Linked DNA regions of Schizosaccharomyces pombe. Changing the gene in region 2 together with the main gene of any one other region gives a genetic interaction. Each region holds a gene or a part of one and is shown on either strand. Other genes may lie near its edges. The genes, in order: atf21 and atf31.

What was found.
Region 1: of atf31 (region 2) and atf21, changing one enhances a phenotype caused by changing the other (phenotypic enhancement), as found in Schizosaccharomyces pombe (one study listed by BioGRID).

What each region holds. Positions count from the first base shown.
Region 1 is NC_003423.3:1,720,816-1,725,061, reverse strand, and holds atf21 (Atf-CREB family transcription factor Atf21), read right to left. Parts: upstream 2,050-4,246; coding exon 982-2,049; 3' UTR 612-981; downstream 1-611. Other genes in the region: mRNA guanylyltransferase Ceg1, read right to left, coding at 1-215.
Region 2 is NC_003424.3:704,344-709,595, forward strand, and holds atf31 (DNA-binding transcription factor Atf31), read right to left. Parts: upstream 3,131-5,252; coding exon 2,501-3,130; 3' UTR 2,486-2,500; coding exon of another isoform or gene 2,345-2,485; 3' UTR 2,310-2,344; coding exon of another isoform or gene 2,061-2,309; 3' UTR 2,019-2,060; coding exon of another isoform or gene 1,949-2,018; 3' UTR 1,910-1,948; coding exon of another isoform or gene 1,294-1,909; 3' UTR 1,259-1,293; coding exon of another isoform or gene 1,186-1,258; 3' UTR 1,148-1,185; coding exon of another isoform or gene 990-1,147; 3' UTR 951-989; coding exon of another isoform or gene 852-950; 3' UTR 816-851; coding exon of another isoform or gene 752-815; 3' UTR 714-751; downstream 1-713. Other genes in the region: ATP-dependent DNA translocase Rdh54, read left to right, coding at 1-193, 230-420, 473-546, 582-713, 752-815, 852-950, 990-1,147, 1,186-1,258 and 4 more; SPOM_SPAC1296.01C (phosphoacetylglucosamine mutase), read right to left, coding at 3,712-3,784, 3,825-4,588, 4,636-4,996, 5,085-5,252.

The DNA.
Region 1 (4,246 bases), on a different chromosome or scaffold from region 2:
CGAATTCCATCACTTTTTTCACATACGAAATAGTTCTTTTCTTTTAATGCTTGTAAATGTTTCTTTGAAAAAGAAACTGGCTGTGATCCAGGAAATGTATCAGGACTTGTTCCTAATAATTTGGCAATTCGTGTCTTTAAAACCCTCACATCGTCGCGCGGTGCTAAAACTCCAGGGACTGATACCTCTTCAATGTCTTTCTCTGAGGGTGCCATTCCTTTTAATAATACACTCGTTTCTTTGCTAAGAGAGGGCTTAAGCACTTTCTGAAGGAGTAGAAACGGGATATAGTCTTAATGTACTAAATAAAGACACATGGTTTGTATAAAAATTCCTTATGCAGTATAGTGATCTTTTGCTGCAAAACGCAAAAATGCATATAATTATAGCTGCTCTACGAATACTGTTATCTTTTCTACCATTTACTTCAGAAAGTGTTATTCTATTACTTAATTTTTTTTTTATTCCAAAGCAAACAATATATGTAACTGTGGTGTCGTACTGAAGATAAAATGACATGTCTGTGAACGAGGTACAGATTATATGGCAGTGATTACAGATTTGGCTCATCTAGGTCAAGTTCGTAAAGCAATCGTAACCTATTAAAAAAATACATATAGGGAAGATATATCATTACAGTAATTATTAATCTGGAAATGAAACGTGCGTAAAGGATCTTCGAAACATAAACACTTTTAATGAAGAAACATGAATGAAAAACCCAAGCAATTGAATGAAACGAGTTTGGAGTGAGATTGCAAATCCCATGAACACAGTGACGCGAAGAAAATAATAGTATTGTGAAAAAAGAAAAATAAAATATGCCAGAGTTAAAGTACAATTACTATAGACAAGCAGTAGAGCAGCACTGGCCGTCTTTTAAGCATCTCCTATTGCAAGATTCTATCCAGGCTCTCAGAAATGCATATACAGTATAATAAAAAAATGTTACGAAACTTGATTCAATGGGGTGTCATTTGCTCAATGTTTCTGAAAGGACATAATTCCTTGAGCCTCTGAAGAAAGATATTGTCGAATTCCTTCGCAATTGCAATCTTGATGAGCTAATAGTTGATTCTTCAAACAAATTACTTCTTCACGTAGTTGGCTGACTAAAATCCTTAGAGCTTTCGACTGCTCACATGCGATATGTGCTGTTTTTTCGAGATTCTGTGTCCAAAGCTTTTTCTTTTGGCGGCATTTCGATGCGGCTATTCGATTTCTCTCTAAAAACCGCCTCCTCTTCATATCAGGAGTTTCATTGTTACTAGCGGTATGAACATTGTTACTGCCAGGTGTACCCCGTCGTTGACTGGAGGCGACGGTTTTATTGGAACAGGACTCATCGCTGCTGTTGTAGTCTCCATTTGGAGATTGAGACTGCTTCTTGTTGGAGTTTAAGTATCCTTCTCTACGTAAGGATTCAAGATTATAGAAAATCTCATCGTTATTCGCAGTAGCGGAATTCTTATATAGGTCCAAACCTTTTTCTTGTTCCGCTCCTGTTAGATTAACATTGTTTTGCATAAGATTTGACTGCACTACGTATGGGGCGTTGGTTCCATTTTGGAATTGTGGATGAAGCACTTGATGAGATCCATTATTATAATGATTCAAAGTACTACCTTCAGAGTATAATGAAGGTGCAACAATTGTTGAGCGTACAGGAGGAGTATTTGTAGGCTGGCCTTTGTCATTATTGTTAGAAATCTCCGAAAGGTTTACCGTTTGAGGTAATGATACCTCTGAAGTACGCTCGGGTCCTTTGAGGTAATGTCCAATGCTAGCATCACCTACTATTGAAGCGTAGTTATTATGTGAATTCGAGGGAAAGGATGTTTGATCTTTAGGTCCCTGGACTGGACCTCTACATTCATATACTCCGATATCGCTAGATTCAGCGCGTTTTTCTCCAACTTCATGGTTACCACCATCGCGGAATGTATTGAAGTTAAAATGAAAATCATGGTGAGTGCCATTACTGACGCTAGCACCATATCCTTCATTACCTAGTGTATCTAACCCGAGATACACATTTGCGAAATCCATGATGGAAGATTGATGATGAGCAAGTTAATTTTCTATTGAGTGCGGTTGAAATGGTTTCGACGGTAAAGCCGATGAAGATAGTTGATACAAGAACGGACTAAATAAAAAGCGAAAGTTTCTTTTTTGTTAGTAGTGCGAATATGTAGTGATTTCTTGAAGAAGGTTAAATCTTAAAAAGAGGCTATGTTATTCAGGTGCTGGCGAAACAAATTGGGAAGGGAAGATGAAGCAAATTGTGGTCGATCAAGTGACGCAAATTTGGATTGATGAATAAGGATGCAATATCTTTGTATAAAATTTCTGAATAGTGATCCCTGTGAACTTCTTCAAAAAAGTAAATAAAAGAAAATGAAGAATGTATAAACCGACAAGTTGGTGATTTGAAACTTAGGAGCTATCAATGGAAAAGTTTCTTTCAATTATATAAATGTGTTCTCTCTTTATTTTTCCTCTGTTTTAAGCATGCAGTAGTGTCCCGGTTTTAGGAAATGAACGAACGATAAAGGAAGGGATGACAATTCGTCGTTCTACAGAAGGATGGAATGGATTAATGGCAAAAGTGAGGATTCCTGGGAAAATAAGTATATATATATAAGGTGGACAGAGAAAGAAGGTAAAGGATAATGAAGGTGGTGAAGGAAGCAATGTCTTACTGCGTCCCTGGCAAGTAAAGAGGCTTATAAACAATAGAGAACTATGTACTAAGGTGGTTTAAGATACCAATTCCTTAATTTTGGACTTGGATTACTATAAGAATACGTTTCTGCTGAGAAATATGATGCTGCAGTCGGTAACTTTTTGGTTTGTGTCGCAATGTTTATATATGTTGATCGGGTGAGATGAATTTTGACGTCACTGCAAAACAAACAAACGAAGGGCTAGGGTAGCCAATCGGGAAATGATTTGTTTACTTTATGAGATGAACTTGCCGTATAGAAATAAAAAGTTTTTCTTTATAAAAATTTATTTTTTTTTTGTTTGAAGGGATTTGTTGCAATTAACAAAGGCACTATGCTAAAAAAGTCAAGCAGTATTATCCTTTAAGGCCTCCATTTTAAGGAGCTAACCGAAGGGGACTACATTCACGTGTCGCTCCACTGTGTAATATTTACATCACAGTCGTACCGTTAATTGGCCACCATATTCGGAAAGGAAAATCTAGAGTTCTATTTGATGCAGATTATGTCAAATATAATCAGGATTTACTTTTATTTAAACCAATCAAAAAATAGCCGATTACTTGTGGAGAGATAATAACGCTATCCCTCGGTATTCGTAGTCGTCAATAGTAAAGTTGTGAATGCGAAAATATAATATCGCCTCTCTTGCTAGCTTTTTTCATATTTATTTCCTTTAATGGTTTTGATGAAACTACCTAGGCTTCAAATTTTGTCGTTCTCTTACGCGCGCCACCATAAACGGCTTTATCGTTACTGATAATAATAGCTCATATCATTACTATTAGTAGCCTTTCCGCTATCAATCCTTTCTCAAAATTTAGCCGCAACTTGTTTCTAATACTTCTTCATCTTTCTTGCCCACATTTACTTATATTGTCGCAAGCAAGAGTAACATGTTATTGATTTAAATCTGGTTTGCCAGAATTCTCATTTTTAGTATGTATACTATCATATCTTTTAACTATACACGAGATGAAGTTTAACTTTTGGTCACATTAAATCAAAATAGACAGAACGGATCGTACATACGACCATGAGTTAGCCACTGGATTGAATCAGTTCTGCAAATCGAAAGATGTTGAACTTCGCAGTTGACAATATGAGAATACTTTAGCAACATCTGGAATATTTAATTAAGCTCTACGTCAATTTGGTAGAAATGTGACTATCTAAGATATAGTTGGCAATTTCCCGAATTCATAGGATATCACCTTTAAACCTTTTGACTTAATTTAATGATATTATTTTTCTTTATTTTAATTTACTGAGATGTAAATGCCGTGATTGTTGCATGTGTATACCTCAGATAATAATTGGACGTAGACACTATTGATTAACCCACGTAGCTATTTCACTTCTTTTGAATATTTTTCTCTTATTCATTCCTTCCGATTGCTGAATTTTCAATGCAGCCGTCAAATTAGGAACATATTACTTCATACGGACTCTGACTCATGATTCACTATGTGTCGTCGAGTCAATATATTTTCATTATAGTCATTGAAACTTACTGACTT
Region 2 (5,252 bases):
AAAGTTATGAAGCAGGCACACATATAGATGATTCTCTCCGAGACGTTCATATGCCTGAAATGAAGCGTAAATTCAAGCCACCTTTGAGACCTAACACAATGTACCAGACAATATCAGCACTACCCAAACCGAGGCATGATCCTACTGTGCTTGGAGCTTTGGTGATGAGCAGGCCCAAGACTTGGGATCCAAGGTATGGTAAAAGTGAATGCTTGATCTAACATTACAGGACGCATGTAGATGTTGTTATTGATCCTTTCCTTTCAAAGCATCTTTATTCTCATCAGCGGGAAGGAGTTTCCTTTCTTTACGACTGTTTATTAGGAATGGAAGGAAAATGTGGATATAGTGCAATTTTGGCTGATGAAATGGGCTTAGGAAAAACGTTGCAAACTATAACAGTTGTCTGGACTTTATTGAGTATGAGACTTAGGGTTTTTTTTAACTTTCATTCTCTAATCTTATTATTTAGAGCAGTCTTATTACGCCAATCGTTCTTCGACTATAAACAATGCAATGGTCGTAGCACCTGTCACTCTTTTGAAGGTAAGAAGTTTCAAAACTTCATTACTAATGGCTAGAATTGGGAAAATGAGTTTTATAATTGGCTCGGTCACGAGCGTATTCATGTTTATATAGCTAGATGCGCTGAAGATTTCCAAGAATTTACGTCGAACAAAACTTATTCGATTATCATTACAGGATATGAAACGGTAATTCCTTTATTTATTCTTTTTTCTAATTGCTAAAGGTTTGTACGTACTTGAGAAACTATGGATGCGGGATTGATATTGATCTTCTAATTTGCGACGAAGGTATTGATTTGTTCATAAATAGTTTATTAATCTTAGCTCACCGCTTGAAGTCCATGAGTAGTCAGACTTGGATTACGCTGAATAAGCTAAAAACTAGAAAGAGGCTTCTTCTCACTGGTACGCCTTTACAAAACGGTATGAATCAGTGAATGCTATTTAATTTTAACCGCTCAGATTTGTCAGAATATTTCTCTATGGTTAACTTTATAATTCCTGGATCTCTGGGGACCCCAAATTCTTTTAAAGCTCAGTATGAGCGGCCTATATTAAGGAGTAGATCAATGAATGCTTCCTCTAGGGACATATCATTGGGAGCTGCAAGACTTCAAAGGGTTTGTTTACTAAAGATAAATTTTATACTGATTTTTAGCTTTTTGAATTTACAAGCAATTTCACGTTAAGGAGGAAAGCCAATATACTGGCTAAACATTTACCGCCAAGAAGTATGCAAATATTAAAATCAGTATTAACATAATAGCCGACATTGTTTTATTCATAAAACCAACACATCAACAAGAGAATGTTTATGGACATGTTCTCGATGGTTTCAAGTCAAGCGTTGATCAGAAGGGCTATTATCTTAAAATTTTGACTCGCTTGAGCAAGATATGCAATAGCACCATTTTATTGAGAAATGAAAAGGAAAATTTTTTGTCAACGGAGTTGCAAGATAAGCATGTATTCGAGCAAGAGAATATGTTGCTCTCCTCTAGCAAACTGCAAATATTGGCTGCGCTACTTAAAAGTTTCCAAAGGGGTTGCCAAAAAGCTGTTATTGTGTCCCAATATAAAGAAACTCTCGAGTTGATTGAATTGTTTTTATCAATTTTGCATGTCCGTTTCTGTAAATTGCTTGGAAGTACTCCTTTCTCTGAGCGTGATTTAATAGTACACAATTTCAATACTTCCAGCTTCAAAGAATTTAGTGTGCTTTTACTTTCAAGCAAAGCTGGTGGCTGCGGTTTAAATCTTACCGGATCCACTAGGTTAATAATTTACGAACCAAGTTGGAACCCTGCCCAAGATTTGCAAGCATTGTCAAGGATATATAGAAGCGGGCAAAAGCGGCCAGTCTGTATATACACATTTTTAAGGTACGACCGCTTTTACGAATAACATATTAAGTTATGCAGCAGTGGAATGCTAGATGAGCGCATTTTTATTCGCCAAAATACTAAGCAAGGGCTTTCAAGTTCGTTCATAGTATGTGATTTATTATAAAATTTTATACTGACTTGATTGTAGGATTCCGATGCAAGCCAAAAGAAGAATTTTTTTACGGGTGAAGACATCAAGACACTTTTTTCATATTCAAAAACTGAAACTTGCTTGACATATGAATTAGCATTTGATTCTGATGAAATTGATTCATTAACAAAGAAAAAAGATCCGTTAACTAAAATTGACCATACGATTGATTCCCCAAATACGAAGGAAAAAGATAAAGAAATCAGTTCTTGGAAAAAGGCTTCTGAATATATGGATACTAATTTGGTAAGTTGTATTTTCATCCTAATATTAATGGCCAGGGGAAAAAGTGTCCAGAGAACGCATTTCAAGGATGGACTTGGCAATTTCCGAATGACCTAAGTATTATGAATGGCGTAGAAGATTATATCCCTCTTGAGCCTTTACCTATCAACTGTCTAATGCATAAAAAGTTCGAATAGATCTATTTCGGACTTTTAAGGAGGCGTAAGCGGTTTTTCCTTGCCCATTAGAAACAACGCTTTTGAGCAAGCCTTCGATACTGGGCAATCTCTATGAGCAAACACCAAGGTTCTCAGTTTAATTATTTCTTCTCTTAAATCATTAGCACTTTGCAAAAGCTCCTTGTTTTCAGAAGTGTAGTAGTTGACTTGGTCTTGTAATGTTTGTAAGTACTTTTTCTTTTTTATCCTACACTTTTGGGCAGCTTGTCTGTTTCTGGCTTTCAACATTGACTGCTTAGTTCCAGTTAATTTGGAAGTGTTTTCATCACCTGAGTCATCCAGCTCTCGTGATGGTGAGTTGTGTGAAGCCTCGGAAATTATACTGGGGCTTTTAGAGGCAGTGTATTCTGATAATTCATCAAAATCGCTTCTCCTGATATTATATGGATCATTGTTAATAGGGGATCGATCGTCGCCGAGCTCTAAAGCTTTACGTTTGGCTGTCAATAAAATCTGAGTTTGCATAAATTGTGAAAAATCGAGGGTTTGGGAAATTGAGATGTCTTTTTCGAAACGAGAAAGATAAATTGAGTTGTATTCTTCTCCATCTTCATGCTTCGGAATAATGGATTCCTCGGTTGGTGTATTTGTTTCGTAGGTCATGCTGAAAATGATTTATTGATCAATAATTTTTTTAAGAAAAATTTATAGCGTCTTATGAAAGACTTCTTTTTCGCAAACGAGTAGAATTATATATTTGATTTTTTTTATGAGTTTTTGGCACCAACTTCTTTTAATAATCGATTTCAAAGTGATCACTATAAACGATAAAATTTGTACAGCTGGATAATGCCGATTAACTGGTAAATAGGTGAATTATTGAACTTTCCGTCAATATCCTTTATAACAGCTTGATACAAATATGAGCGTTTGTTTGCTCACGCGAGGTTTATATAAGTCCTTTATGAGGGAATATTAAATTCAAGCATTGTGAGGAAGTCCATGTAAACAAACACTTTTTCTTGTGAACACAACAACAAAATTATAATGCCTGGTTATTTTAAAAAATTACTATCAACAAACTGTATACAAGTATATTCGCATATGTATGCACATATTTTTGTTAGATATTATATAAGAATTTGGGTAACCAAAATTATTACTAGATATCCCTAAAAACAACATTAAACAAGACAGTTCCATCATAACCAATTTAGTCATTAACATTTAAATTTAAAAATTGTTTAATGTAATAGTTCAACAATGCGGAGGGCTAAATCCTCAGATTCACCCCTTGAACTAGCTTCCGCATACACACTACAATTAGAGTTAGAATGATAATTAACATTGAACTTACCGAACAGCATCCTCGGTTCCAGATGATCGAACAAATGCCCGACCGCCCGTGTATTTTGCTACCAAAGCGTCAATTTTTTCTTGAAGTCCTTCCGGTGTTACTAGTTTTTGTTCGGCATCAGTAGTAGTATAAATTGACCGGTCTTCTACTTCACAGCGAATTAGACGACTAGGAATTTCGCTATATAGCTGATTCCACTCTTTCAAAGTGCAATTTTTGTGAGCCAAAATGACTTCCACCAAAAGTAAATTAGTAATAGCATCTCCATCAGTTTGATTAATCAATTCAAAGACTGTTTTTAGAGTTTTTAAGGCATTAAATTGGGCTGGAGACAATACTTCATGAGAAATTATCTTTGATAATGCAGCATGAGAGACTAAAATTGTACCATGACCATTTGCTTCAAAAAATACTCCAACATCGTAAGCTTGAGCAGCATGGTAAAGATGCTTAAGACCGGGAGACACACATAAAACCGGTACCTTTAAAGTTTTTTGGAAAAATGCCGTGCTGGCTCCATTTGCATAAGCAGTCTGAACAATACCAACTTGAAGGTCCAAACCAGTAGAACGGATTAGGTCGATTAGAAATTGGGCAAATAAAGCGCATATTTTGTCACCATCTAACAGATGAAAGCTGTGAGAGCCAAACGCAAAATACACAATTCGATCAGCATCCCCGTCAAAAGAGGCACAACGGGCATGTTTTGGGGCACTAATACCGTTTGGAGGCTTTTGCTGAGTCCTTACAAAATCCGCTCCACACTAGTAAATTAGCATGCAATTGTAAACAATGTATCAAAAAAACTTACCGAGTTATTCAACAGTTCAGGATTATCAATATTGTCGTTTACGATTTCGATAGGAAACAGCTTTGGATCAATATACTTGGCCAGTTCTTTTATCTTAGCCGCTCCGACGCCGTTAGCAGCATCTATCAATACAGTCCCTTTAATCTTCTTTCCTGTCATTAAGGATTGATATGCCTTCGACAGCTTTTCAAAATACCCTCTTTCAGTAGGTTCACCTATTGCATCTGGGGTACCATAAGTTTGAGAAGCCTTGACCATGTAGTGTAGCTGAGGTGTAGTTAAAAGGCCAAAATTTTCGTACTTTGCTTTGCAGACCACAATACCGTCAATTACAGCTTGCGCAAGGATTTCTGAAGTAGACCTAAGTATTAGATGTTAGTCTTGGACATAAGATTTAAAAAAGCGGAGAAATTAAGTGATCTAATATCGACAATAAAAGTAAAACAAACCTTGAGTCATAGCCAACAAACACCCGAGCTTCAGAACCGGGAATAATCTTTGCCTTTTTCAAAATTGAAGTTAAACAAACCGTTAATTCGTCAGCGGAATCCGCATTTACTACTTGATCCAGGTATGCTTCCCATTTGCTAGAATCCAGGCTACTCAAAATGTTTACG